3 linked regions of the Alligator mississippiensis genome follow. The protein of the gene in region 1 interacts with the protein of each later gene in a biochemical or structural test. Links are inferred from orthologs where the notes say so. Each region holds a gene or a part of one and is shown in the gene's direction. Other genes may lie near its edges. The genes, in order: ATXN3, CAPN2 and RAD23A.

Region 1 (9,390 bases):
CCTGCCACACTACCTTTCCTTCATTTAATGACAACGGGACAGTCAGGCAGAGTTTTAGTCTCATTTTGACCTCGCGGCAAATGATGCACGTGTTGACTATTTCTTGTGCTTCTTTTTTAGTTACATGAATGCCCCAAGACACGCCCAGGCGGGCGGTTCCATCATGCCTGGGGAGTCCCATGTTGTCGATGTAGCCATTCTGCGGCTCGTTCCCCAGGTATACAGTGGGAGAAGGAATTGGGCAATGATGGACTAGCTGCTTTATTTTTTTTTCTTCAACATACAAGGTTTCAGTGCTCTCTTCTTTTGTTAGCTGATCAACTCGTCTATTCCACTTTGCCTCCAGGCCTTCTCCTGCCTTACTTCCATGTGCTGCACTCACATGTTGGATGCATAGAGGAAGCTAATCTTGGGCTAACTCCCATAAGGCCTTCCACTCCTCATGGCTCCAAATGTCTTGTCCTCGTCTTTTAAAATTCTCTTTGTTCCATAGGGGTAACCACTTGGTACATCCTTCTACTACCATCCAGGAGTCACTATAAATATAAATGGGCCTTCTAGGACATGGACCTTCTACTAATTCCCGCACAGCCATGCCGAGCACTGCTTGGAGCTCGGCATACTGCGCGCGCTTTTTCCGAGGCCTTGTAATACTACTTTCTTGCCATCTCGAATCCTCAAGGCAGCTGCTCTCCAGGCATGACCTCGAGCAGACCTATCTGTAAACTAGACTTTAACATTGGCTGAGGTCTCCATTTCAGGTGAGAAAGGAGGTGCTTTTTTGATGGGTGAAGGTTCACTGCAGCTTGTTTGATCAGGATAAACATTAATTGTACTTTCTGTGACTCTTTCAACTAATGCAGGGCATCCCTTTGGGGTTACTCGTTGGACCTGGCTCAAAATGTAATAAATCCACCTTTGGACTGTGGTGTTTTGGGCTCTCCCCCCAGGTGGTAGCTGGAAGTCTGACAGAGCCATTCCGAGAATAGGTATCAGAGTAGTGATAACTGTGGGTAACTCTCCTGTCAGTGCTTCTGTGGCTTCCAGGGCCGCTGTTGCTTCACACAACCTCTGTTCTAAGAGAGTATACCTTGCTTCCGCCCCTCTCCAGCCTCGGCTCCAAAATCCAAGGGGTTTTCCTTCTGTTTCCGAGGACTCCTGCCACAGGCTCCAGTGTGGTCCTCCTTCTGAGACGCCTATATGGAGCCAAAGCTCTCCTTCGGGACGTCGTGCTGCTAGGGAGGCATGAACAGTTACTGCTTCTTTAAGGGCTTGTAAGGCATATTTATGCTTAGGACCCCATTCCCATTTAGTTCTCTTCTTACATAGGTTATACAAGGGACGAGCTAATACGCTAAACTCAGGAACATGCATATGCCAAAAATTGAGTGGCTTGCAGTTCTTTCACGTTAGTGGGAGTTGGGGTCTCCACTATATTTCGCAGCTCCTCAGTTGGTATTGTGGGCCCCCCATTCTGCCATTCTATTCCTAGAAATTCACACTGGGACCCTACTTTTTGGATTTTCTGTTCAGACAGCGTGAATTCAAAGGTAAGCACTTTCTCTTTTAATGATTCAAAGGCCTTGGTGGCAGCCTCTCTGTCTTGACTGCCTACTATGATATCATCTATATTTTCTTGGACTTCATGAACTATTGTAGCTAAAACCCCATGAGCCAGGGTGGGGCTGTGTATCCACCCCTGGGGCAACACGGTGTAGGTATACTGCTGCCCTATCCACATGAAAGCAAATACTGGCCAGTGGCTCTCCTGGATGGGAATAGCAAAAAACATGTCTTTGATATCAACGGATCCCATCCACGCAGGTCCATAACACTGGATGCTTTCTGTCAAGGCTGGTAGTGACAGGACGACAGCCATCAAGGGGTCAGTATTAGCATTCAAAGCTCGAAAGTCAATAGTCAGTCACCACCCTCCATTTGGCTTGTGCACTGGCCATGCTGGATTGTTATATGGAGTGGTTTTGGATAATAGTTTCGTCTTCTAACTGCTGACTTATGATACACTGGCTAGGTTTGGTGGCCTCGGAGGGAGTTCGATACTGGGGTCTGTGTACTCCTTTCATGGGAGGCAGAGTTAGTGGGATCATGTTACATCGAGTTACAGCTGTTATAGCTGTTTCTTCTGTTTCTCAGTGAGGCACTGCGCACCCAAACTGCCAATTCTTTTGTTCAAGGGCAAACCGCTGTTCTCTTAGTACACTAAGTCCCAGTAAGCTTGGTCCCCCCTTAAGTATCACTGCTGCTGCTGTTACCTTAGAGTCATTAGGTAACGCGAAGGTTGCTTGGACCAGATGTCCTGGTCGTCTGGTGCCTCCAACTCCAATTACTTGATAAGGGGTTCCTTTCTCCCCCTTCCAATCTGCAGAATCTAAAATTCAAATCTGGGCACCCATGTCTAATAGCATATCAATGGACTTTTTACTTTTACCTAATTGAATCTGTACAGGTATCTTAATCAAGGGGCCAATATTAACTTTAGATACCGGTCCCCGGCCCACTATTGCCCCCGTTGTGGCCCCTTTCATTGGGGCTTGGGTCGGCCGGGCTTCCTAAGCCACATAATTAGGGGGTGTAAAGGCTAGCAGTCCTGCATGTGCCTGGGAAAATGTCAAGAGTTCTGCCCTCAGGGCAGAGAATCCCTCTGGTGACCCTGCTGGTGGTGCAGATGGCTCTGCTTTTTGGCTTGCTTTTTTCACTGCAGTGTTTAGCCCACAGCCCTTCCAAAACATTGGTGGGCACTCCATCAATTTGCACTTTATTAAAACTGGCAGCTAACAAGTCTTTCCACAATTTCGCTCGTGGAGTCTTGGGCCGGCCCTCTCCAGCTTTTTCCAACCATTTGGGGGGATCAGGGGGTTTGTCTTTTGCTGAGGCCACCACCATGGCCTTGGCAGTTTTTGTTGGCTTAGCCAGCCCTGGCTTCTGCAAAATGGGTAAAAGCTGCACTAATCGCCGGATCACATCTCTTACCGGGTGATCTACTGCCCCTGGCTCCAAGGCCAACAGGGCTGAGGTGCACTCTGTTGGTGCTCATTGGCAAAACCTCCTCCACAACAGTGCTGTCTTAATATCTAAACAAATACAGAAAAACACTCGGTCTAATCTTCATAGAGCCTTCAGCAAGCACCTTTATCACACAGACATAATTTCCAGCTGTCACAAAGGATCCAGATTTTTAATTCTACCTTTTGTGATATGGAATTTGTATGATGCAGCCTTGAATTCATTTTCTAAATATCTTCTCCCTCTAAAGCAGTGATTCTCAACCAGGGTGCTGTGGCAAAGTTAGCAGTGGTGGGTGTATGGACATGAATCACAAGCTAAGTCCAGAGACTTTGAATAGGAATCCACAGTAGTAAAAACATTACAAGTTCTTTCCAACAGGAGAATTACTATATCTTCTGTAGTAACAAATGAGTGAAAGCTAAGAGCTGGCATTTTCCTAGGGGTGTGTTAAGTCTATAAATGCTGAGAACTACTGCTTGTTCATTTAGATCAGTGTCCTGTCTCCTATCAGTGACCTTTGGTGTGACCAGCTCTGGCAATTCTCATTTTCCTTGCTGTGGCATTTCTTGTTATGGGGACTCTTCTGCAGAACAGGAAAAGGTCAGACCCTAAAACCTTATAACTTTCTTCCAATCTGTATGTTGGTTCAGTGCCTCAGAGCAATGCTGAGTCCTCTAAAAAGTTCCTGTTTGGGAGGGGGGGGCGGTGTTTCTAGGTGCCCGTGCCCATGCCCTGAAAGTTTTGCCAGTTGTTGATACAAGTATTAACTTGCAACAAAATCCTAGTGGTTTTGAATTTAGAAGGATGTTATGGAAAGAGCTAATGGAAGGGTTTATTTTTAGTCATCAGGTAGTATAAATAGAACTTCCCAGTTTTTTATTTCATCCCAGAAACTGAGAAACAAGATGGCAGTCAAAAGTAGAGTCTGCTAGAAGTCCATTTGGGAGAGGTGAAAGTGACAGCTCAACATAGAATCGTAGAAAATTAGGGTTGGAGGGAACCTCAGGAGGTCATCTAGTCCAGCCCCCTGCTCAGAGCTATCTAGTCCAGCCCCCTGCCCAACTATCCTTCCAGCCAAAGCTTTGCTTAGCTGGGTTTTGAAAATCTCCAAGGATGGCCCTTCTACCACCTCTCTGGGTCACTTGTTCCAATGTTTTAGTACCCTCCTAGTGAATGATATAGTGATATTTCCTAAATCTAACCTAAACTTCCCTTGCTGCAACTTGACACCATTGCTACTTGTTCTGTCATCTGCCACCACTGAGAACAGTCCAGCTCCATCCTTTTTCGAGCCCTTCAGGTAGTTGAAGGCTGCTATTAAATGCCCCTTCAGTCTTCTCTTCTCCAGACTAAATAAGCCCAGCTCCCTCAGCCTCTCTTCAGAAGTCATGTGCCCCAGCCCATAAATTGAGACTTAAGATCACTTTCCTACAACCAGACTTAAACTGCCAGCCTTCCTGTTCCTAGCTCAGGACTTGGGCCCTTCAGCCCCAGAGGGACCTCAAATGATTGAGAAAGAAGGCAAAGCCCAACTGAAGCATCCAAGAGTGAGACACGCTTATTTTTCTTTAAGCTGGAAACATCAGCCAGCTAAACAGCATGGATGGAGCAACTAATGATGCTGCCATGTCATCAGTCTGGGATTTCAGTGTTTGGATATGACAATGATGGGGAGCAGTGGTCTTTGCCTGGCCACTCTGTCTCGTGTACCAGCCTCTGGGAGAATGAATGAGGTTAAATTTGGTGAGATACACCTTCTCCTCCCTTCTCCCGTGTCTTCTCTTTCACTCATTCCTGTTTTCAGTATTATTGTCAGACATGGCCTGTTGCTTAGAAATAACTCCCTACTCCTTCCCCTTGCCTGTTGTGCCCGGGGGAGAGGTTTGTGTAGATCCTAGTGAAAATGCCATCGTCTTTGTGCCTGAATGCCCCGCGTGCAGCTCAAGAAGCGCTGGGAAATGTATTTCCTAATTCACCCCTTCGGCCAGACCTACCGATCCCCGGGCTGGCGGAACCGGACCAGGATACCCAGCGCTCCGCAACCGGCAGCGGGCGCCACTGCTGCGCTAGCCGGCCGCGCCCGTGCAGCCCTCCCTTCCCCGCGCCAGCGTCTGGATCCTCCCGGCCTGCAGAGGGAGCCCGCGCCGGCGGCAGTGACGCTACTCCGGAAGCACGTTCCTCCCCAGCCGGCCCAGCTGCCGCAGACATGATCTGCCTGTCGAGATGTTATTGGGCGGGGCGAGAGCCACGTGGCCGCGTTGAGGGCAGGGAAGGAAGCGGGACTGCTGCGGCGATTGGCTGCTGGTGAAACGCTATTCGATTGGCTGGGCCGCTGTCACGTGAGGCGGAGGCCGCTGGCTCGAGACAAATAAACATGGAGTCCATCTTCCACGAGAGGGTGAGCGGGCGGGAGCGGTTCGGTCGGGGGCGGGCGTTCCGCGCCGGTAAGAGCGGGGTGGGGAGCGGGCACGGGCGGGACCCTGCGTCAGGTGACGGGCAGGGCAGGGCGGGCCTCTTAGTGCGAGGGAGCCTCTCGCCAGATGTCGTAGAGAGGCCGGGGCCCAGGCCCGCGAGCGCAGACGGTGTTGGTACAGGCACCCCCGCTCCGTCTCGAGCAGGGCGTTGGGCTGGCCTTCATGGGGTCTCGCCCAGCCTGTTCTGGTGGGACTCGAATAAATGCTTCCTCAGTGGCGCACTGGAGGTCTTGCAGTCGCAGGGGGGTGCTGCAGCTACTTCCCCCAGCCCGTGGGGCTGGTGTAGCAGGGGCCTTTCCAGCCTGGCCCCACAGGTCCCACAGATTGGGTCCTGTGTCACCCCAGCACACTGTCTTTGCCCACTGGGATCAGGCTGTGAGGTTTTGTGCTACCCCCACCTAGCCCCATATGCCAGGATCAAGCCCTGCACCACTGTGCCTAAACTAGCATGTAGCACTACAACCCACAGATGGGTGGGTATTCCCACAGGCCAGATGATACAATGCCAAGGGCCAGATCTGGCTCATGGGCCACCCTTGCTCTAAGGTAACTTATTTTATGTGAGCTTTTGTGACATAAAGGGTGAGTCAAGAGGCAAGGAAACTGAGGGGGAAAAAAATTAAACCTTTTGCTTGTAACAGGAAGTTAGCTTTAGTGTTTAATATGGAGGGAATAGCAGCCTTCAGTGACTAGGAAGTTCGTAGGCTCATCTACAAAAGGTGTTTTGTAAGTTTTCTTTGCTAATCCTCAAAAGAAACTTGCAAAACATCTTTCATAGATGAGCCCAAAACTTCACTTTGTAAGTCTAATGGATACAAAATTCATGGACTTAATATAAACATTGGACTTGTGACGTATTACAACCTGCCTGACATCTGATTCACCAGGTACCTGCCTGAGCTTACCGTCTGCATTCTTTCCCTGTCTTATCTCTACCAATTGTCTTCCTAACTTCCACCTATTTACATTTCCACAGATGTCTTGTAGCACTTTTGGCTTCTTTCCTGCCTTGGAGATCTCGGAAGCAGAGCAGTCTCCCAATGCCTGAAGAAGGGTGCTTGTGCCTGAAAGCTTACAAAGACCTTTTTTCCAACTATTTAGTTGGTCTAATGAAAGATACCACATCTACTCAAAGAACCTTGCCTTATCTGAACCATACTTTTGTGCTGTCCATCCCTCCTTTTAGTCCTATCCCAATTTATTTGAAGATAAATGGGCTTTGTTACATATTATACTTCAAGCTTCTCAAAATGTCTATCGGCAAGGTATTTTAGTAGATGTGATATCTTTTATTACCCCAACTGAGTAGTGGGGGGAGGGGGGGGGGAAGTCCTTAGCCAAGCTTTCAGGCACAGTCACCCTTCTTCAGGCATAGGGAGTCTCTGCTGGTCTTAGACTCCATGGAATGAGAGAAGTTAAGTGTGGCAGGATGTCGGTGAGAATGTAAATAGGTAGAAATTAGAAAGACAAAAGGTAAGGCAGAGGAGGGAGGGGGAAGAAGGCAGGGGAAAGAGAAGGGAGACATTATACTGATAGAATACAAGGTAGAAAAGAGGCTGTCTGTGAAAAAGGGAATAGCTGGAGATTAGGAAAACAGAACTGAGAGAAGCTAGAAATGTGACAGGATGTCAGTGAAAATATAAATAGGTAGAAATTAGAAAAAAGGTAAAGTAGGGAAGGGAGGAGGAAGGAAGCTAAGGAAGGAAAAAAGGCTAAAGGGAACATACAGAGGCAATAATACAAGGTGAAAAAGAGGCATCAATGAGAGGAAATATATGGAAATCAGGAAGATAAAGAACAGAAAAGTATGGAAAAGGAGAGGAGAAAAGGTGGGGGAAAAGAAGAATGTAAGAGGTCAGGTCAGGCAGGTACCTGGTGAATCGGATGTCGGATAGATTGTAACGTGTCATAAAACCAATGTCTATTTTGAGTCCATGATTTTTTGTTTCCAGTAGAGTCATAAAGTGAAGTTCATAGGCTCGTCTACGGACAGTGTTTTGTAAGTTCCCTTTGAGAATTAGAACTGAGAGTTTGGGGAGGGAGTGATTGTCCTCCAAGAGGTGTGTCCCCAGTCTTAGTTAGATTTTTGGTTGTATTCATTCTACATTCAGAAGTCAATCAGCATCAATGTTAACTCGAGTTTTTATAAGTTACATATTTAGGCTAAAATCTTCTCTGACTGTTCTGAACTTGCACAACTGTGACTTGCCACAAAAGGGGCAGTAAGCAGGAGCCTGATTAGAAACTACAGCTATAAGTTGCTGCTAGAGCAGGAGTGGACAATTACTTTGGCTGGTGAGCCACTTAATGAGTTTTGGTGAGCTATTGAGGGCTGCACACAAAATCTTTCAGATATTTTTGTTTTTTAAAATCTATAATTTATTTAAAATCCTATATTAAAATCCAAACATCTACTAAAACTTTATCTCAAAAAAGATTTTCTGTCCTGATTTATGTTTTGAGTACCATATATAGAGGTAATTGTATAATAGCTCAAAATAAAGTCTTACTATTGTATGCTGTGGGGAGCGTGTGGACATGTGTGGGCAGCTGCCTGCATACTAGGTACTGGAAAAAGATGGAAGGGGGCATGTGCAGCACAGCTCACCCAGGTGAGGGGCAGGTACAAGTGCAGTCAGCGCTGCCCCCCCTCCAATCTGGCCTGCTGCTGCACCCACATGGGGTTGAGCCCCGCCCATGACAGTCTGCCACAGTCCCACAGTCACCTGTGGGTGGCTGAATGGATGGAAGGTGGCCTGGAGCTGGGATCGGGACCTCGCATGCTGGGGCAGGAGCCACCTGGCTGCAGCCCCCCTATCCCGGCTGGGCATCTCCTGGCTTGGCGTGTGTCTCCAGTCACCTCCTACCCCTGCTTCACAGAATGGCACAACATGGACGAGGAGGAAGAAGAGCTGCTGCTAGAGACCAGGGGTACTGAGCAGTATTCAGGTGGTTGCAGCTGCACCAAGAGCAGCGCTGAGAAGCTGTGTGCTGGAGCGGTGGTGCCTGGCAGGCATGGGTGGGAGCGTGGCGGCACTACCTCGGGCAGAGCCTGGCCCCATTCAGAGTGCTGTGGGGACCGCCAAGCCAGATACAGTCAATTGACAGGGGCCCACCCGCAGGCCAGATCCAATCAGATCTGGTCCACATGCCATATTTTGCTCACCCCTAATGCTAGGGGGCTGGCGAGCCAAGCCAGACATCTATCCCTGTTCTAGGTGTGTGTGGGGTGGGGGAGTTGGGTTAGTAGGAGGGGGAGTAGGAGGCTGGAAAAGTTGCGGCCTGGCTGTGCCCCCCCCCCCCCCCCCCCAAACCTCTGGCCCATGAGCCAGATCCAGCCCTTGGCATTGTATCATCTGGCCTGTAGGAATACCCACCCATCTGTGGGTTGTGGTGCTGCATGCTAGTTTAGGCACAGTGGTGCAGGGCTTGATCCTGGCATGTGGGGCTAGGTGGGGGTAGCACAAAACCTCACAGCCTGATCCCAGTGGGCAAAGACAGTGTGCTGGGGTGACACAGGACCCAATCTGTCCTGCAGATAGGCCTTGCACCATTTATCTGCCTCATGGGGCCAAAACTGTGAGCATCAGTGCCTTAGGGCAAACCTTGTTCAGTTTAAATCTCACAAAGACTGTGTGAAATGGGGGTTTTAAAGTTTTCCGAGGATTTGCTTTCACTTGAGCCAAAAAAAATTTAAAAATTATATTTCCAAGTTGTATTTATACAGAAAGTTCAAGCACAATTTTTCCTGAAGTTTCTTATAAATAGAGTTCTTTTCACACAGTTTGAGAGAATTGAGTGTATTGGAGTTCCTGTGTTAAGAAAAGAAATGCAAAAGACATAGACAGGATGGGATGATTTAAATCAGCAAAGAGGAAGCCTTTATTCA
Region 2 (9,918 bases), on another chromosome or scaffold:
AATTTAATGGGTTGGCCTCAGTAGTACGGTTCAATGGGCTCGCCTCAGCAGTACAGTTCAATGGGCTGGCCTCAGCAGTGATAGGAACAAGTCCCCTTCCTTCGGTCCCACTCGGGTGCTCTGTGGTGTCAGCGTGAACTAAGGGATTCGTGTTCATGGAGAGGGTGGTTCAGGTAATCAGTCTGATCCGGCCTACACTTGCGATTCTTCCTTTGTTGTTCTTCAAGTGAGGTTACCTCCAAATTGGGACTGTAGGTTACAGTTTTTATTGAGTGAGTTGCTGTCTTGGGCCCCTCCTACCCAAACCTGTCACTACTCCCAAATTTGGGCTCAGATCTTACTCAACAGATTTTTTGCTAGGTGGTCAGTTTGTCTTCTGCAACGGAATTTGTCTGCTGACTATTTAGTATATCTTAAATTTTGCTTTGGAAGATTTTCCATACCACTGCAGTGACCTTTCTTTTACAACCCAGTTTCAAAAGGCCTCTAGGGGTTTGATCTCTCGGAATGTTTGCTTAAGGGTCATTTTTCTCTGGTCCTTAGGATAACTTGTTAAAGGCCTCTAAAGATAAGATCGAGGAGCCAAGACTTTAAGCACCTTCGTTGTAAGGCCAGGTAAAACAATGAACCTAGATAAGAAGATGAACCTCACCTTTTTCTAAACTGGCTAATGGGCAACTATTACAAGCATTACATTCAATATGACAGAGGTGTACAGGGCTATCTTCTAAATATTGTGCCCTTCCACCTTAGGGTTCTCAAGAGATGCCTCCACACAGATTCCCTCTGGAGGGAGCAACTTGGTTGGGTTGATCCCATGGGGGATCTCTGCAATTTCTCAGTATATAAGAGCTCACACTTCCCTCTGAACTGTCACTGGATTTTTGGCTGCAACAGAGACAGGAACCTGATGAGATGAACTTTCCTCTGGAAGATGAAGCAGGTGGTACATTGTATAAAAGACCAAGCAGATCACGGCAGGAACCCTTCCCCAGCACACATGTACCAGCAGTCAGGAGCCCTAGCAGCCGCACTGGTATGTCTCAAGTCCAGGTGCTTCCTTCCCACCACAGCTTTTGGGCACTTGTACATGTGATGCCATTACCATGTACACACAACAAAAATGTTACTTTGTGTGGCTTGTCACACTGTACACGTGCAGGAGTTTTGAGGGTTTTAAATGAGTTTGCATCATTGCAAACTAAACTACACCCTGATGTTGTTTAGTTTGCCATGATGTGTTGCAGCTATTAGTCAGCTTGCTACCAGCTGCGGGAGAGACAGGCAGACTCTGCCAAAAAAAAAGGATTAGGCCCCTCACTGCTTCTGCCTTCAGCAGGCACCTGGGCTGCCTGGGCAGGCTATGAGCAGGACAGGTGCTGTCCCAGCTCAGGGTCAGGGAACAGTGTGATTGGGCTGGGTACAGCCTCCGAGCTGGGGCAGCCTGCTAGCAGCCTGCCCAGGCAGCCCCAGGGGGCACTGCCACTGTGGAGGGGTGGACCAGGGCCCCCTGCAGCTCATGGGCCACTCGGCCTACCAGCAGCTCTCCCCCTGGCTGCAGGGATGCTCTGCCAAAAAAAAAAAAGGTTCAGGCCCCTTGCCGTAACAGTGACGGAAACCCTTAAATTGAAATGGTGGGTTTCAGTTAAAAACCCACCATTTCAATGTAGGGGGCATAGAATGCAACCCTAAGGACTAAACCCCCCTATATGTACAAGTGTCCTTTGTGTGTAGGGAGCTCAATACCTTCAATGACATCGCTCCCACAGTGTTCAAAGGAATCAGTAATAGCAGCTGGGAGTCTGCACATTGCATGAGCAGGGCAGCTCAGGCAGCCTATTCTTATCAGGGAGGGACAGTAATCTAGCCAGGCCTACCCATCTCTGCACCAACAGCAACAGCAAGGAGTCACTGCAGCAGCCTGGCTCAAGCCAGCTGTTATGCCAGGGCAGCTTTCCAAAGGAACTGCCTGGTACAGCAGAATACCTCGTGCTAGCCTCGTGGGAGACTGAGAGACCGGCCTCTTTGAATTTAATTCCACTGCTTTTCTTATTCTACAAATAAAAATCCACTATGACTGTTTTTTTGGGCCCTGGTTACAGACTAGCTGTACCTGTACAGTTGTCCTGTCAAGCTTCTTTGGTAACTTCCATGAGTTACTCCCTCCTCTGGGGAATGTTGGCAGCTCAGCTGGCCAGCAGTGGTGCTACGGCCTGGAAAAAATGAATCTGCACAAGCTTTCAATTGGGAAAAATAACTCTGGAATTTGGTGACCTCTCCCCTCCCTTCTATGCTCCAACTCATCTTTCAGGCAGGCGGGGGCAGGAAACCCTGAGCTCCACCTCACTAGCAGCTGGGCTGGGTATTGTGAAGTCCTTTTTTATAAGCCTGACCCCACAAACCAGCTTAATTCTGATTTGAATTGAAGGAATAACAATGGATCTGAAGCAAACCAAATTTCATTAATGCTGTCACTCTCTAAACTATGTGAGTCATTCAAACAAACTGCCCCTTTCTGGGAGGGTTGTATTGCTTTTACTGTCCCTCTTCCATGCGTTTTCTTAGTTGCAGCTGCCGCTATAGACACTGGAGGCCAGGGCAGTGATATGAAACTTCCCTTGGCTCCCACAGAGGCTTTGCCCAACCAAAGTCTACTTTCCTGGACCCTATGTATGTGGTAAGATTCAGGTTCAAGAGTGAAGGAATAAGTGTGAACAGCTGATAACACTTAAATGCGAGATCTGTACATGAGGAAAGCAGGGACAAAGTGAGATGGAATGGGTTTTATTGGTTGGCTTGTTAATTTTTTCCCCTGAACGACAAAAGAAACCTTTTGAAAGAGCCAGGGTTTTATTCTAGTGCCACCACCCTGTACTCACCCACGCAGCTCTCCTTCTAAATGGAATGTTACATTCGCTGCACCCACCAGGGTTTGTGATTCAGGCTGCAGAAGGGGTGAACAAAGCAGTCCTTGAAGGGTGGATCTGCTTAAAGACAGGTGAGGGCTGGAGTCTTTTACTGTTGTTCTTCACAAGACTGATTTCTGTGTGCAACCTCCACCATCAATATGATTGCACAGGGTGCACAGAAGTGAGCCCATAGCACTGATAAGTGCTGCACAAAGTGGGGTATACAAACCCCCAATATAGTAATAAACAGCTTGTGAGGGACCTGAGAGTGGTTGTTCAGAGAAGGACAGTAGCTATGATACCTACTGCCTGAACATCGTCTTTATGTTGATGTAATACTTCTCTATTGGGCCCCATTGCCCTGCTTCAACCAGTTTGTATCCTGCGTCAGGAGTGCCCTGTGGAAGGCCAGGAACCTCCTGTTGCACAGGCAAATGGATGTAGAGGTAGCAGGCTGCGTGAAAATGGCTCTGAGCGAACTCTAGACCTACTACCAGAAATCGGTAGTAGAGGATGGAGAAGACGCTGCCAAAGTCACCTGGCACAGAGACATGTGGCACAGGGTCATCCAACATCCCCCGAGTGGAGAAGGGGGCGGTGGCAGCAAAGAAGAGGAAGGGAGAAGCGGAACAGAGGACAGTGACCACAGCAGCGGGTCCTCTAGCAGGAGCTGGAGTGACAGCAAGAGAGAAGACACTTGAACTGAGTATGTGACCCTGCAAGAGGGGCAGGGATGGAAAGGAAGTGTTGCCTGGTCTGAGGGACCAGGATATGCTTTTTGTTTGGCGTGTGTTGCGCATGATGTGGATATTGTAACGGGTTCAGGTGGCCAGTGGGCCTTTGTACGGGTGCATGAGCGCGTTTTTTTGTAACTTGTGAAGGTTTTTTTTTCTTTTTGCGGTGTGATATGCGGAGTGTAGATATATATAATCTTAGAGAGAGGGAGAGGAAGAGAGAGAGAGAGAGATTTTTACAAAAAACAAACTTCTCTATTGGGTGCAAGAAGGCAGTTTTCCTGAGCCACTTGGCAGGAGAGATGCTCTTCTGGCTGATTCAGTACCCACCGAGGTGCAGCAGCTTTAAGCCCAGCATATGGAAATGGCAGTCTCCTCCCTTGCTTGCTCCCAGGACCTTATGGCTGAGGGCAAGCAAAACTTGAAGGTATCTGAACCCCAAGCCTCCGGGCTTGGGCCTGCATGTAGGATGCCCACCAAAGGTTTAGGAAACATCTGAAGCCTCAGGTGCAGGTGGAGGATATTTGCCGGTAGTAGGGTCATTTATGGTTCGACTCTTGGATTTGGAATTAGTTTTGGCTAATTTGGCCTTGGATACAAATTACATTTAAAAAAAATACTTCTCTATTGGGTATGCTGGGCTTGCTTGTGATTTAGCAAACTTTCCACATGACCTGGCAGCACAAGCACCCAATGGCTTGAGAGCCAGAACAGCAGAGGGCCTTCATTCATTGCATTACAGTATGTTGGAGAAGAGCGCAGAGCACTGACTGGGTTAGGATCCATGAATCAAAGCTTCAGCTGTTGGCTCCACCACAGACTTTGTATAATTTTGGGCAAAGCACATTAATGTCTCTTTGCCTTAGTTGTCTTACCTGTAAAATGTAGATCCTTCCTCCATCTTCTCTATTTAGATTTTAGGCTTTCCAGGGTAAGGACTATTCTGTACAGTGATTGGCACAATGGGATTGTGATCTTTAGGCAATAATGTAATTAACAATAATAGAGGTAATTGCAAATATCTTGTCATCTGGGACTGCAGGAAAGACAACAGAACAATGCATTATTTGTGGGGGCAGGGTGGAGAGACGGGAGAGGGATTATGCATGCTATTTGCATAGTAAACATTCAGTTTGCTGTTTTTCCTGGGTATTCTGTAGAGCATTGGTAGAAAAGATTCAAGGCTCCCTTCAAACATTTCGTACCCTGTCAGGAGGAAAGATCTTACATTTAATTAATGATCCTCCAGTTCCATTGATGCTTCAGTTCCCAAGGAGCCCAAGGTAAAATACCAAATACAGGAATGGCCCATTCCTTTTCAAGTGCAAACTTGTTCAGAGTAAAATGCAGAAAACAAAGGCTTCATATTCCATACAATCTGCATATACATCACATTTAGCATGTATCAGGGATGTCAGACTCACTTGACTCCCAGGCTGGTTTTTGAACTGTAGGGCTCCTCATGGGCTGGATCCAGGCTTACCTCTGGTGGTAGGGCAAGCAGCAGTGGCATTAGCCACTACAGGTTCCTGAGCCACATACACTCATTGTTTGCCCCTCCACTGCTGATAGATGTCCCCATTAGGACACTATGCTCCAGACTTTGGCGGTGGGCCCCACCTCACCTCCTTATTTCTGGCCCCTACAAGAGCCCCACAGGCTAGATGATATGGTTTCATGAGCCTGTTCTGGCCTATGTGCCATACCTTTGACACCCCTGGTCTTGACCATGAAGGCTTGTGTGTTGGTGCTAAAGTCCTTGGTTTTATTCCTGCTGACAACTCATGCCATTGTTCATGAATACGTGATGCACCATAGGGGATTTGAGCTGCTGAGGACTTCAGAATAAGTTTCCCTAGCAGTCAAAGTGTGCCTCGCAGTGGCTAAATGTGTTGTCCCCCCCTCTGACAAGCTGGCACACAGGGGCAAATTAAGAGCCTATGGCTGCTCTTCCTGACAACTAAGTCAAATGGCAGAGGTCCATGCTTTGGAGCAAAAATACCCCAGGATCTGTTCCACAGAGTGGGGATTATTATATTGGCTCGTGTAAGCTCCCTCTTTAAGGGAATGAACCTTTCTAAACCAGACAAGCTGCTTAAGAGGCTATGGTTGGGAGCGTCCCAATGAGGAGGATTCTGCCTTGCAAGATACACTGCTGGAAACAATAGACTCATCCGGGCACCCTGCCACTGACTCAAATCACAAGAGGGGCACCAGGAAGAAGCTGCATCTTTAAGCACTAGCCACGCCTGCTTTCACTGTTGGGTTTTTTTTGTTTCTCTCCGATGAATCACGCCCTGGTCTGGCTCCACACACTGCTGCTGCTGCTGTTTGCTTTAGGTCTCAGATGTCCCTCTGCTGAGCAGCAGGAAGGCTCGCATTTTTATGTTACCCGCAGAAGCAGCAGCAGCAGCAGAAGGCAAACATGTCTGGTATTGCAGCTAAATTAGCCAAGGACAGAGAAACAGCAAGGGGCTTAGGCTCCAATGAAAAAGCCATTAAATACCTCAATCAGGACTTTGAGACTCTGAGGAAGGAGTGCCTTGAGGCTGGGAAACTCTTCCAAGATCCATCCTTCCTTGCAGCTGCCTCCTCTCTGGGGTACAAAGAACTGGGACCAAATTCATACAAAACTCAGGGCATCGTATGGAAGAGACCAACGGTAGGATAATGGGCCCTGTGGGGAGGGAGAAAGGGAGATCAAAGGTGAACACCAAGTGATACAGTTACTGTATGTGCTTGCTTGGCTGAAAGCGGGGAGGTTGCAGTGATCACAGTGGGAATTGCTGTGGGTGGAGAAGTCAGGTATAATGGACCAAATTGGGCAGGACTGTGTGGAAATAACTCAATGCATTGGAGAATCCAACCTAAGTCTTCAATCTTGTCTCTCTCCCTAGTGATGGGCCACACCCAAACCAACCTCTGGCATAGAACTACCCCAGGCTTGGGTCTGGATCTACATTTATTATCTTGGGCCCATTTTTAGCAGGATAAGTACTAAATCAAACCTGACTGAGTGATAGAAAATGTTGTCCTGAAACAGAGGCTGAGAGTTCCCTTGTCTTGAAGGGCCCCCAGATAAATAGCAGTACTTGATTGTGTGCCATGTGCAGCTATCGCTGGAGGAGAAATACAACTTCTCTAAACTGCGGCACGCCACAGTGAAAACCTAGCTATTGATTGCGAATGTTTCCAAGAAAGTACAGTACTGACTTCTGCAGTAGGAATGTGCTGCCAGAGGACCCAGGGAGGCACTTGAGAGGTGTGTGGTGCTGTCACACAGCCAGGACTTGAGCCTGGAGATGTAGGAAATTAGGAACTCCATGATGTATAGAAACAGGCTAATCTCAGACGCCTCAGAGGTTTTGTTCGGATTTCTCCAATGCTCTTTGTTATAGAAACCTAGTTGGAAAGTTGGTAGGAAATTTGGGACTCTTAGGACTTAAATACTGAGGCACAAAAATGAAAATGAAGATTCAGTGGATTTTTTCGAATTGTAGCAAGATTCAGTTCAGTCTGAGCGAGCACCTAATTTACTTCTGAAGGAGATTTAAGTCAGAGCAATTGCTGAAGTCAGTGGAGCTACATGGGTAAAATTGATGCGAGTGGAGAATCACTCACAAACTTCTTATTTTAGTCGACTGCTTTGCTCATCCTGAGCTCAATACAAGTAAACATTTTTTTCCCTGTAAACTGGAAGCCAGTAGTTGAAGCCAGCCAGTTATGTTTATTTTCAGTGCAAGTATTCCAGGAAGTGAAAGGCATGTAAGAAAAACCACATTCATTTTTCTCTGTGCGCCCTCAGTGCTTTCCTATATATATAGCGTTGCATGTGCACACACATCTAGTGCAGGGACTTATACTCTTCTAGTGCCAGCCGGCTGTTTTGGGATGTGAGTCGATCCATTTGTCCACATTTCCTTCTTGACTATAATTTGTTTGGATACAGCTGGTGTAAGTAGGTATGAATCTGTGCCCAGCTCTTGCAAATTATCCCTGCCCTGAGCACCAAGCTCTGCACTCCCATAGGTCTCTTGTAAAATATACCTGTCAGGTTTTAGAAGTGCTGCAACGGGCTTTGCCCTTCTCAGAACTTGTACTTTTCCTGTGCCCCGAGCACTCGGGGTTGCTTGTGCCACCCTCCATTTTCTAAGTCACCATGATTTCAATTCAGTTTTCCCAGTCACACTGCCTTCTCCACCCCAACTTTTGAGCTATGCTTCCCTCTGCTTTTACTAATATAGAAAGGCAGCTGGGCAAACCCCCACCCCTTGCAAATCTTCCCCCAACAAAAAAACACCACAACCTAGTAGTACCCCGTCCCACCATGTTCAGCGCTCCTCCTCTGCATTTGAATAAAGCTGTGTACATTTGAATAAAGCTGTTCTAAGTGTCAGTCAGAATTCTGTGCCTTTGCAAAGGCCCTGATTTAGCCTTTGCATAACACATTTTAAACTCAAAAGAATTGCAAACAGGAAGGAATTTGGTCCAAAGACCATTGAAACAAGTCCAAGAACAAATGGAAAAATCTTCAGAGGCAGGAGCCCGATAACTAGAAAATGCAGTCAAAAGGCACTTTTGTGACAGGGCTGGTAGCCTAGGGCATTGGCGAATTCTATTTCTTCAGGAAGGAAAAGAATAAACTTCACCTGCTGTTTTGCCTTACAGCCTAAAATTCCCGGATAAACGTGTTTGCTTTGGTACAGGTCACAACCCATGCAGGCATTACATTTCTACCAGGAAAATCTTAGCTGTCCTGGTAGAAACCATGAGCATATAGGCATTCACAGAGTTTCTCCCAAAACAAAAATGGTGTTTCCAGGAGAAAAAATAATCCATCTCTGATTCTGTAGAGGTCACTCCTGGGAGGATTTCTCCCAGGGAATGAAAGCCTATACACTTCACTGCCACCTGACTCCTTCAGGGACCAGGAGGGACTGAGCAGTGAGGAAACACTTCCTACATCTAGACCAGGAAAGGCAAGGGAGCAGCTGGTGCCTGCCTCCTCCTAGTCCAAGGAGTAGTCAAGTAGTGGGGAAAGGCTCCCTGCTTTCCCTACACCAGGGTTACTGGGAGGGGAGGAACAGCTGCTGCTTTCTCCCTACCAGCTCTCTCTCACCAGGGTCCCGGTGTGAGGTGTGGGCATGGGACTTTGCCCCATTGCTCCAGTACCCCTGGGAGCAAGAGAACTGGAGCAGTCATTGCTCCCTATGCTTTCCCCAGACTGGGATCACCCTGGTCTAAGGAAGGTGAAGAGACAGGGGAGAGGGGATGGTTGCAGGCTAGATACCTGTACTGCTCCCTCTCCCGGAAACATTTCTAGCCGTGGAAAATTTCCACCACTAGAAATGAATGCCCATTCATTTCACAGTTATAATGCGTCACCTTAGAAAACTGCTTTCCTTAGCAAAGTAGGGAGTGCAAACATGGGGAGTGATTTGTGCAACGTACTACTCAGTCTCCATACCTGGTGATATAAACAGCCTGTTCCTTTCAAGCTTCCTCCAAATACCCATTAAGATACTAGAAGTGTTAACTCAGTTGTAAGTCATTCCAAAGTGCATAGAAGTCCCTTGCAATTAACTCCATTGGGGTCTTTCAGATGTGGTATTGAAAACCAAAGGGTAGGTTAATTTGTTCACACACGTGTCTATGTATATGGATTGATAGAGATTAGCAATCACATGGCACCCTTGGTGAAAACCTGTTGACATAATGGCCCTTCCCTACTGTGTGGTGTCAGTACCATTCTCTGTTCTTGATCTCCTTCATTTCTCTGATGTTGCCTTCCTTTAGTGGTTTTGTTGTATTGTAATGGAAATCACCACAACACTTGGTGGCCACATATATGGATACAGTAGGATTATCTGCAAGGAGAAAGATAATGAAAGCCCCCAGTGTAGGTACAAAGCCTGTCTATTTATTAAATGCTTTATTTATTTCACTTATAGGAGCTGTGCTCTAATCCTCAGTTCATTGTTGGAGGTGCCACCCGCACAGATATCTGCCAGGGAGCCTTAGGTAAGACACATTATGTTCAGGTTTCAGTTGAGGCTACCGTAGATGACCAAGTACTGCATTGCACCATCTCATATTGAATTCTTAAATTATTGTCTAATTCTCTCTTTTGCTGCCTACTCTCCTTTCCTTTTCCCATCTCTCTTCATATCACATCACTAAAGGTCCTATAAAAGATGCTCCAGACCATGAAAGCTGCTCCAGATGAGGACTGTGTCTTCCTTTTCTGTTGTACACAATACCACTGAATGAATTAA
Region 3 (9,919 bases), on another chromosome or scaffold:
TGAGGGGTGGGAGCAGGGTCCAGTGGCTGGGGCAAGGCATTGGCCTCTGAACTGCTGAGTTCTATGGCACTGTAACCATCCTAGGTCACAGCTTCCCTCTGCCTCAGTTTACCTGGTGGGTATGTATCCTGTTCCTCTCATCATTCTTGTCATCTGCAGTGGGAAGTAGCTTAACCTAGCAGCTTAACCTGGCAGTTTAACCACAAACCTACTTGTGTCCGGAGATGCAGGGAGGCCCTCTTTGCTGCCCCCTTCCCCCACCGTTTCAACTCCAAACCTTGTATCTCCCCTTCCCAGATACCTGGACGAGCCGCTGGGTGGAGTCAAAGCACAAATCTGACTATGGGAAGTTCAAGCTGACGGCTGGCAAGTTCTATGGGGACAGCGAGAAAGACAAAGGTGGGCACATTTCCTGCTGGTGGTGAAGGGAGGGGGCAGTCTATGGGTCCTCTTTTTGCCCACCCCTTGGCATCTCTGCTCTGTTCTCACAGCTAGGGTGAGTTGCAGGGTCCCCTCTGCTGCATGCTGCCCAGTGGGGCTGCATCCCATTGTGGACTCTCTCCAGGGAAGCAGTCACTGCACCCCCCCCCCCCCCGCCCCCCCCCCGGCAGCTTTGATCCCACAGGTAGTCATGGTACCTGCCTCATGACCTAAGGACCAGGTAGCAGGCCTCATCCCTCACTGCAGATGGGCAGAGCCAGTCCTTTCACACCTCCATTGGGGCTCTGCCTTGGTGGGGTCCTGATTGCACCCTCCCCCACTCCCCTGCAGGAATCCAGACAAGCCAGGACGCCCGCTTCTATGCCATCTCATCCCGCTTTGAGCCTTTCAGCAACCGGGGCAAGACGGTGGTGGTGCAGTTCACAGTGAAGCACGAGCAGAACATTGACTGTGGTGGGGGTTATGTCAAACTCTTCCCGGCCAGCCTGAGTCAGGAGGACATGCATGGAGACTCTGAGTACAACATCATGTTTGGTGAGCAGAGGGGTAGGGGCAGCTGGTGCAAGGCATGAGTCCATTTGGGCCCAGCCAGGTTCATGGTGTTCCACTCTCCTGTGGCTTCAGTTGTCAGGGTCGTGCTAGGAGTGGCTTTCCTTCCTTCTCATCCAGGGGCTGGTGTCATGCTTCTCCACAGGGGGGAATGCAGCATCTTCTCTACATGAGGCTTCAGGGAGCCCTTGGGGAGATGCAAATTCTTTCCCATGCTGGCCAGGGGACCAGCAGATCAGGGCGCATTGGGGTCTCCCAGGGGACCAAGCAGTGTGTTTGAGGGGAGGGGGAGAAATGGCCTGTAGGGGAACTAGCTCAAGTGGGTCTTTCCTGAGCTCACTGCCCTTGGTGGTTGGATGTAATGACCTTGGAGCAGGTTCTCCCAGCTCCTGCAAGGGGTTGGCCGCAGGTGCCCTCCTCATCACCATGCTTCCTAATGGCACCTTGTCCCTCAGGTCCTGACATTTGTGGGCCTGGGACCAAGAAAGTCCATGTGATCTTCAACTACAAGGGCAAGAATGTGCTCATCAACAAGGACATACGCTGCAAGGTGAGTACCCAGAAGGGGGGGGGTGTCTTCCCATGCCCTTTCCTCCATGATGCCTTGGCCCCTGCTCACCTGGCCCCTCCCTGTGCAGGATGACGAGTTTACCCACCTGTACACCCTCATTGTCCGGCCCGACAATACCTATGAAGTGAAAATAGACAATGGCAAGGTGGAATCGGGCAACCTGGAGGACGACTGGGACTTCCTGCCACCCAAGAAGATCAAGGACCCTGAGGCCAAGAAGCCTGAGGACTGGGATGAACGGGCCAAGATTGATGACCCCACAGACACCAAGCCTGAGGTGGGCACAGGCTGGCAGGAATGACTTGGCTGGGGCTGGGTGGTGGGAAGGATAACACGCAGTGAGGCCCCACTGGGGGAGTCTGACTCGTGCGGGACTCTCACTCCCAGGATTGGGACAAGCCTGAGCACATCCCTGACCCTGATGCTAAGAAACCTGAGGACTGGGATGAGGAGATGGATGGCGAGTGGGAGCCTCCGGTTATCCAGAACCCCGAGTACAAGGTGAGGTGGGCCAGGCCTTCCCATCCCCTTTTCCTTGCAGCCTGTACTGGAAGCTATATATATACCCAGGCCTTGTCGGGTGAGGGGGGAGATAGGGGTACCATACTAGAGCTATAACTAGACTGCCAGTGCCACACATCCTTGTAGAAGCCATGAGTACCATAAGACCACCTGCAGAGTCCTGCTGCCTGGCTGGGAGTGTCAGTTATGGCCTCAGCAAGAAAAAGGTTCCCTCTTCATAAACTTGGAGCTTGCTGCTCCTGGGTCCATGTAGGGTTGGGAATCTGCTGCATACCCAAAGAGATGAGCAGTCCTGAGAGCTGGTCTCTGCAGCAGCCCCTGCTTGTCCTAGAAAATTAGGGTTGGAAGGGACTTCAGAAGGCTGTCTAGTCCAGCGGCTCTCAACCTTTCTTTGTACCAGCACCCATTTCATAAACATTGACCAGTACCACCCCTGTGCCCCTCGCTCCTGACCTGCTGCCCCTAGGCCCCAGCTACATATCTTATCTAAACTTGCCTTACTGCAACTAGAGAGCATTGCTCCTTGTTTTGTCATTGGCTACCACTGAGAACAGTGTAGCTCCATTCTCTTTGGAACCACCTTTCAGGTAGCTGAAGGTTCAAATCCCCCCTCAGTTGTCTTTTCTGCAGACTAAATAAGCCCAGTTCCCTCAGCCTATTCTCATGGTGAGGGTGCTAGGGCACATGACTTATTTTCATTGCCCTCCGCTGGACTGTCTCCAACTTGTCCACATACTTTCTATAGTGGGGGACCCAAAACTGGACAAAGGATTCTAGATGTGGCCTCACCTGTTGCTGGGGGAGTGTAACCCACAGGTTGCCATTGGCCCTGGGGTTGCCATTGTGGGGGCCTGGGCCCTGTGGTGGTGCTAGCGTCCATGACCTGAGCCAGGTGCTCACTCCCTTCCCTCTGCCTCGCTACAGGGGGAGTGGAAGCCGCGCCAGATTGACAACCCTGACTACAAGGGCAAGTGGGTACACCCTGAGATCGACAACCCTGAGTACACGCCTGATCCCAGTCTATATGCCTATGACAGCTTTGGAGTTATTGGCCTTGACCTGTGGCAGGTGTGATGGCTGGGAGTGGGGAGCAACAGTGTTTTCTAAGAGACTGAGGGTGGGGGAGGCTGGCTGATTTCTGGGGCAGGTGGATGGTAGCTGGGGTCTCAATGATTCTGCTGCGCACTCGAGCAGTGAGGTGGTATAGGTCATGGAGCCAAAACAGGTACCTCTCCTGGGGGCTGGAGGTGGGGTGGGGAAATGGCTGTGGTGTGGGAAGTTGAGTCCCCTCCAGGCCCTGCTGGGTGATCCCCCTCATAGAGCAAGTCCCCTCAAGGGATCTAGCTGCCCCGCTGCTGCTCCGTGACGGTCTTGCTCTCTTCCTCCATTCCCTCCAGGTGAAGTCTGGCACCATTTTTGATAACTTCCTGATCACAGATGATGAGAAGTTCGCAGAGGAGTTTGGCAGTGAGACGTGGGGGGCCACCAAGGTATGGGAGTTAGTGTCATGGCACTACCCTTATCTCCCAGGAGTTAGTGGGCAGAGGCTTGTGGGGGGGTAGACATGCCCCCTTCTCAGGGTATGGAGCAGAACTCCAGGCCTCTGCTTGGCACTTTCCTAGTCAAGATTTCTCTTGGGTGATAGGGGTGGGGGACAAATCAGCCCCTTGCTAAGGGCTGAGGGCACAAGGTGCTTTGAAGAGGTAACTTTATTAGTGCTCATGGAGTCTGGCCAGGGTCCCCACAGCAGACCCTTGAATTGGGTCCCAGTGATAGTGACCTCTATCTGGGCGTTGGACCTGGAGGCACAGCTCTGCTTGTCCCCAGGGCAGGGAGATGTGGGAAGTAGCAGAGGCTGGGAGTGAATGCCCAGCCAGTAGCCCTGTCTTCCCTGCCCCTGCTAATATGGCTGCATCCAAACTCTCTAGGATGCAGAGAAGAAGATGAAGGAGCAGCAGGATGAAGAACAGCGCAAGAAACAGGAGGAGGAGGACAAGAAGCGGAAGGAGGAGGAGGGCGAGGCCGAGGGGGACGAGGATGAGGATGAGGATGATGATGACGAGGATGAGCCTGAAAAGGAGGATGAAGAGGAGACAGAGGGGCCTGGGAAGGATGAGCTGTGAGCACGCAGCTGTTGCTGCCCCCGCCTGCAGCAGCCGTGGGAAGGGGATACTGTAATGTCTCTATGAGACCCGAACTTTCTTTTTTTTATTGGTGTCTTTGTTTTGTTTCTGTTTTTGTTTTGGGGTTTGTTTTTTTTTTTTTTTTGTCCTTATTCCCATTTCCCCTCTTTTTCCCCCCCCCTTTTTTTTTTTTTTTGAAACATGCCCCCATTGCCAGTATCAGCCCCGGTCCTGTGCATAGAGAGGGCTAGGCCTTGGCCCTAACAGCATCCAGGGTCTAACTTCCAGGAGTTCACCTGTTGATAGCACTGGCTGCAAGGGATTAGCAGTGGGCTGGCTTCTGGCAGCTTCTCTCTACGAAGCAGGGCATGGAGGCTAGAAATCAGCATCTCTACTTCTCCCAGGCACCTCCCCTGCTCCCCCCACTCCCTTTTTATTCCTTCCAAATAGAAACTGTCCCCAGCCCCCTGCAGGCTTTCAGAATATGGGAAGAGGAAGCAGTGTGGGGGGTTGGGATTGATACTGGGGGTTGGGGAGCACCATCCTGCAGGAGTTTCTCTTCCCAGCCCAAAGCTGCTGGGTCTCTACAGCAGGGCTGCAGCTGCCTGCTCCCTCTTTCATCCCCAAAGCCGGCCCAGAAGTGGCACCTACTTTCAGCCGGCCTCTGAGCTGTGCCATATCCCTAATGGGTAGCCTGCATAACAGCCTGTTGCATCTGGGGGTCCAAAGCACCTTTTTCTGTAACAGGTGGCTGGAGTCCCTAGGGAACTGCACAGGCCTTTTAGGTAATGGGGGGGGGGGGGGCACTGCAGGGTAGAATGTAAAGAGAATCTCCTGGGTGAGGATGCAGAGCTGTGGGGAGGGGGGTGGGGAGCAGAAGACTGCAGGGCCAGGCTTGTTCCTACTACTGGAACTGCACCTGGGGGTGGGTGAGTGTTTGAGGGCTCTGGTCACACTTGAATGTATTGAGGACTGAAGAAAATTTCTATTAAATTAACTCTGTGTCTAACCCAGGTGCTTGTCTTTGTGTCCTTCCTCTGCCTGCTCTGCCAGGGGGGCCAGAAGGGAGGTCAGGCTTGCTGCAGCAGGAGCTGTGGGGGTCCCTGAGGATAGGAAGCCAGTGATCCTCTCAAGGGAGCAGAGTCTTGCATTCCCCTAGGCTTGGCTCCGCCTGCGACCGGGCCAGCCCACCCCCGCCATGTTAGCCCATTAGGGCTGCCATTTTATGCCCCTCTGTCATATGACCACTTTAGGGCCGGGGCCCCTACACATAACCTATGCTTCGTCATATGACCCGCTCCCCGCAGCCACCTCCCTTAGCACGTGACCGCCAGCAAGGCGTTTTTTCGCCTAGCGCACATCACTTCCGGTTGCCTCGTGTCACGTGCTGGGGCTGCTGCGCGTGGGAGCCGGAAGCCGCGGGGCAGTAAAATGGCAGCGGCGTGAGTTGCATGTTGTCGGGGCTGCTGTATACGTTGGAAAGAGCCGCCCGAGCCTCAGCCCGGCCCGGCCGCCGCCGCCATGGCGGTGACTATCACCCTGAAGACGCTGCAGCAGCAGACGTTCAAGATCCGTATGGAGCCCGACGAAACGGTGAGGGGCGCGCGGGGCGAGATGGTACGGTCCGAGCCCGCGAGGGGGGATGGGGATGGTGGTCTAAGCGGGGAGGGATAGAACGGTTCAAGCCCAGTGGGAAGGACGGAGTGGTACAGTCCACGCTGGGAGGCAGTAGAATGGCACGGCTCCACCTCGCTGCGGGGGTGCAATGGCATGGTTGGAGCTGAAGGGAGGAATAGTGTGGGTCTCCCCCACCCCGTGGTGCAGTCTAAGGTCCGGTCTCTCTGCCTTTTAAGCAGGCGTGGCCAGGCGCTGCCCCCCAGCGCCCCCTCGTGGTCCGGGCTCTGCTGCCGTCCCCCGATACAGCTCCTATAGGTCTCCCCCATGGCCTCCAGGTGCAGGGAGGGGGCAAGATGATGCCCCAGTGTCCTGCCTCCCTCCAGCATCCCAGCTCAGAGGTGGCTGCGTCTTGGCCCTGAGCATGCTATCTCCATGCAGAGTTGTGTAGCTGCACCACCCCAGAAGCAGCTGTATCTCAGTGGGGGGGGAGGGGAATCTGTATACCCAGCCCTTGATACGTGTCCCCCTCCCCAGAACCAACTCTATCTTGGTGTGAGAGGAGTGGGGGGCCCTGTATACCATGAACAACTGGTGCCTCGGATCACTGGGGATCACATGCCCCCCCCCCCGATGCTAGTTAGCGATGTGGGGGGGTCCCCCCTGCGGCCAATCTCACTCGCCAAAGAGCAGTTGTGCCACTTCTGGAAGCTGCGCCCCTGCTTTTGCTGGTGGCCCCGTTCCTCAGCTGGCACTCGCAGGGGGGGCACTGGTGCTCCTGCATACCCCCTTGCCTGTCGCCTAAACAGGGAGTGCAGCCTGACAAGAGTGCATGTGCACCCCCTTACATATTGCCACTGCTGTATACCCACTTCTCAGTGTGGTCCACCCCAGAGGTGGCTGCATCCCAAACCCAGGGAAGATTCCCCCTATCTTAGGCTGTGAGTAACAACTCTGCACCTTCACTGTCTCAAGGCCTGTCACCATTGCCTGAGTCCTTGGCCTCAGGGTGCAGCTGGGGCTGGGGTGATGCCAATTCCCTCTTCAAATAGCTGGCATCCTCCACAGCTCCCTGGCAGCATCAGGCTTAATTTTGGCTCCCTCCAGGGCAGGAGAAGCCAAAAATATTGCTGGACCCTGCCCACGGCTGACGGGGTATGGGATGGGCTGCAGCTGTTCTACTCCCCTCTCTCGGATGGGGGTGGGGGGCAGCACCTTTGGCCTGAAGGTGTGCCATGCTGGGTGTCCAGGCCTGTGGATTGGCCTCTAGAAAGACTGAATATGGGAAGAATGGGGTCCGTTTGTCAGGGACCTCCCCTAGCCATTAAGTGTGTGCTTCCCCCTCCTGCCACTGGCAACATGGTTAACAGGCTTCAAAGAGCTTTTCTGCCTTCCTTTCCACCCTAGAGGTGGCTGCATCTTGGCCTGGTGGCACTAGGGGGCATTGCATTGCAAGGTGCAGGCTGGGGGGCTGCAGATTGTGGGGGGGGGGGGTGGTCTCTGGGTTGGATCCCTGGGTGATGGAGGCTGCAATGGCAGGTGCGGGTGCTGAAGGAGAAGATTGAGGCGGAGAAGGGTCGGGAAGCTTTCCCCGTGGCTGGGCAAAAGCTGATCTACGCTGGGAAGATCCTGAGCGATGATGCGCCCATCAGGGAATATAAGATCGATGAGAAGAACTTTGTGGTCGTCATGGTTACCAAGGTGGGTGTGTCCCCCACCTGACACCCCCAGACCCATTTCTCACCAGCATCCAGCCTGGGAAGCACAGATGGGTGCAAGAAGCCCCTGGGGTCCTGCCTTGATTCCCTGGGCTGGCATTAGGGGGTGCTGTGCTGCTGGGAGCATTAGTGGGCAGAGTCTGCGCTACCACTGGGGGTTGGAGGGGTTGGCTGCTGCTTGAAATGGGAGGGGGGAGTGCAGGGGGCTGGAGTGGTTCCAGCTGCCCCACTCTGCTGCTTGTTCTGTAGGCCAAGTCTGGCTCAGGGGCCCCCATCCCCCCTTCTGCAGAGCCCTCCCAGCCCCTCCTGGCTGAGCAGCCCCCTACAGCACCTGCAGCTGCCTCAGCCCCCCCAGCAGCACCCAGCGAGAAGCCCTCCCAGGAGCCAGTGGTGACCAACCCCCCGGAGTCTACTGTGGGGTAAGACACCCCCTATATGGATGCAACTCTGCCATGGTGGGTTGGCGGCCAGAGCCAGGCATCCCTGAGTTTGAAGGAGTGGGGCTCCAGACTCTTGGGTTCTGTTCTTGCCTCTCTGCAGCCCGGCTGCGTGCAAGCAGCTTCACTGTTGTCTGTCTTGGTTTTCACATTGTGGCAGTCCCCCTCCCCAAGAAGGAGAATGACCTTGTGTTAACAAGGCAGTTTTGGGAGGGTTGTTGGGAGAGTTTAACCCCTTATGGTTTCCCCCATGGTGCTGGGGGCCCAGGTCCCTCTGTGGAGGCTGCAGTTAGGGAAACTGAGGCAGGTGCAGGGACTTCCTGGGGAGGCGGTGGTGCCTTTACTCTTCACCCCTCCCCACCAGGAGGTCCTTCTGCAGCAGGAGCCCAGGAGCTCAGCCAGAGGGGATGGGGGGGGGGGGGGTCTCGAAGAACTTACCCCGGGGAACAGATCATCCTGGACCCGGCTACTATTTCTCTCTCTTAAATCTGCAGCTCTGTTCCCTCTTCAGGTAGCGCCGGGTGCGGCGAGGATGCAGCCTCCACCCTGGGTAGGTGAAGGCGGCTTTCCCCACTTCCCACTAGAAAAGGGCTGGGATTCCCAGGGTAGGGGTGAGGGGCAGCAGTCTGGGGTGGAGGAGGGGGCATGGAGCCAGGAGCTTGTACTCCTGGGTTCTCCAATCCTTTCTGCAGTTCTTCTCCAGCAGGGAGGGTTCCCCGTAGTAAAGAAGGAGGGGGGTTTGGCTCAGCCAAGACACCCCTGACACCGCACCCTCACTCCCCAGTGACTGGCTCAGAGTACGAGACAATGCTGGCCGAGATCATGTCAATGGGCTACGAGCGAGAGCAGGTGGTGGCTGCACTCCGAGCCAGCTACAACAATCCTCACCGTGCTGTAGAGTACCTGCTCGTGGTGAGCCCCTCCCCTGGGTGCCAGGACAGCTGGGTTCTGCTTCAGCTCTATGGAGGGGAGCAGGGATGAAGGATCAGAGCAGAGGGGGACATGAAAGTCACCATGACTGCTGTGGCTTATCCCTAGCTCCGGGGAGGGAGGGGTGGGTAGGAGCTGGGGGTGAGGACCCAGGAGCCAGGATGCGTGCGTTCTATCCCTAGCTTTGGGGAGGAGTGGGTAGTGCTGGGAGTAGGGGGCAGGGAGCAAGGATACCTGGGTTCTCTTATCCCTAGTTTTGGGAAGGGGAGCAGAGGGGTGGCCTGGAATGGGGAGTGGAACCTGGGAGCCAGGACAGCTGGGTTCTCTCCTGTGGGCAAATGCAGGGAAGTGCTGGGTGTGGGGAACACCAGGGGTCTGGCTGTAGCCCTGAGTAGAAAAGGACCAGAACTCCTGGGTTTTCTCCAATGGATTTGGGAGGGGGTAGAGCTGGCAGCCAGGATGTCTGGGTTCCAACCTCTGCCACTGGGCCCCACAGGGCATTCCGGGCAGCCCTGACCTGGAGCGAGCACCCATCCAGGAGAGCCAGGCCCCAGAGCCACCGACATCTGAAGGTGGGTGAGCCCTGCATGGGGGAGAGGGGCTCTGGGACCCTGCCCCTTTGGGGGTGTAGCTTAGCTTGACCACACCCACTCCCCAGGTGAGAACCCCCTGGAGTTCCTGCGGGAGCAGCCCCAGTTCCAGAACATGCGGCAGGTGATTCAGCAGAACCCGGCCCTGCTGCCCGCCCTCCTCCAGCAGCTTGGCCAGGAGAACCCCCAGCTCCTGCAGGTACCACAGTGCACCTGGACACCTGGGTTCTCCCGTACCAGGAGGGCAGTGGGAGCCATGGGACAGAGCAGGCTGGGCCTGGGATCCCAGGTGCATGTGTTTTCTCCCTACTTTGGGAGTGGAGTTGGGAGGTCTGGTCTGTTAGAGCCAAGGGGTCTGGTCTGTTAGAGCCTAGGTACTTCCATAGATTTCATAGACATTAGGGCTGAGGGGGACCTTGGAAGA

Evidence for each region.
Region 2: of the proteins of ATXN3 (region 1) and CAPN2, one has a biochemical effect on the other in vitro, tested with the Homo sapiens proteins (2 studies listed by BioGRID). The link is inferred for Alligator mississippiensis from reciprocal best matches to the Homo sapiens genes ATXN3 and CAPN2.
Region 3: the proteins of ATXN3 (region 1) and RAD23A form a complex in vitro, tested with the Homo sapiens proteins (2 studies listed by BioGRID). The link is inferred for Alligator mississippiensis from reciprocal best matches to the Homo sapiens genes ATXN3 and RAD23A.

What each region holds. Positions count from the first base shown.
Region 1 is NC_081825.1:275,332,672-275,342,061, reverse strand, and holds the start of ATXN3 (ataxin-3), read left to right. Parts: upstream 1-5,326; 5' UTR 5,327-5,401; coding exon 5,402-5,425; exon of another isoform or gene 5,426-5,471; intron 5,472-9,390. UniProt on the Homo sapiens protein: Deubiquitinating enzyme involved in protein homeostasis maintenance, transcription, cytoskeleton regulation, myogenesis and degradation of misfolded chaperone substrates.
Region 2 is NC_081824.1:181,598,517-181,608,434, reverse strand, and holds the start of CAPN2 (calpain-2 catalytic subunit), read left to right. Parts: upstream 1-5,923; 5' UTR 5,924-6,068; coding exon 6,069-6,305; intron 6,306-9,594; coding exon 9,595-9,664; intron 9,665-9,918. UniProt on the Homo sapiens protein: Calcium-regulated non-lysosomal thiol-protease which catalyzes limited proteolysis of substrates involved in cytoskeletal remodeling and signal transduction. Proteolytically cleaves MYOC at 'Arg-226'.
Region 3 is NC_081831.1:22,676,228-22,686,146, reverse strand, and holds the start of RAD23A (UV excision repair protein RAD23 homolog A), read left to right. Parts: upstream 1-5,589; 5' UTR 5,590-5,727; coding exon 5,728-5,799; intron 5,800-7,359; coding exon 7,360-7,521; intron 7,522-7,787; coding exon 7,788-7,957; intron 7,958-8,469; coding exon 8,470-8,525; intron 8,526-8,759; coding exon 8,760-8,887; intron 8,888-9,401; coding exon 9,402-9,477; intron 9,478-9,563; coding exon 9,564-9,694; intron 9,695-9,919. Other genes in the region: CALR (calreticulin), read left to right, coding at 298-399, 772-975, 1,446-1,540, 1,629-1,838, 1,949-2,062, 3,008-3,151, 3,481-3,573, 4,012-4,206. UniProt on the Homo sapiens protein: Multiubiquitin chain receptor involved in modulation of proteasomal degradation. Binds to 'Lys-48'-linked polyubiquitin chains in a length-dependent manner and with a lower affinity to 'Lys-63'-linked polyubiquitin chains.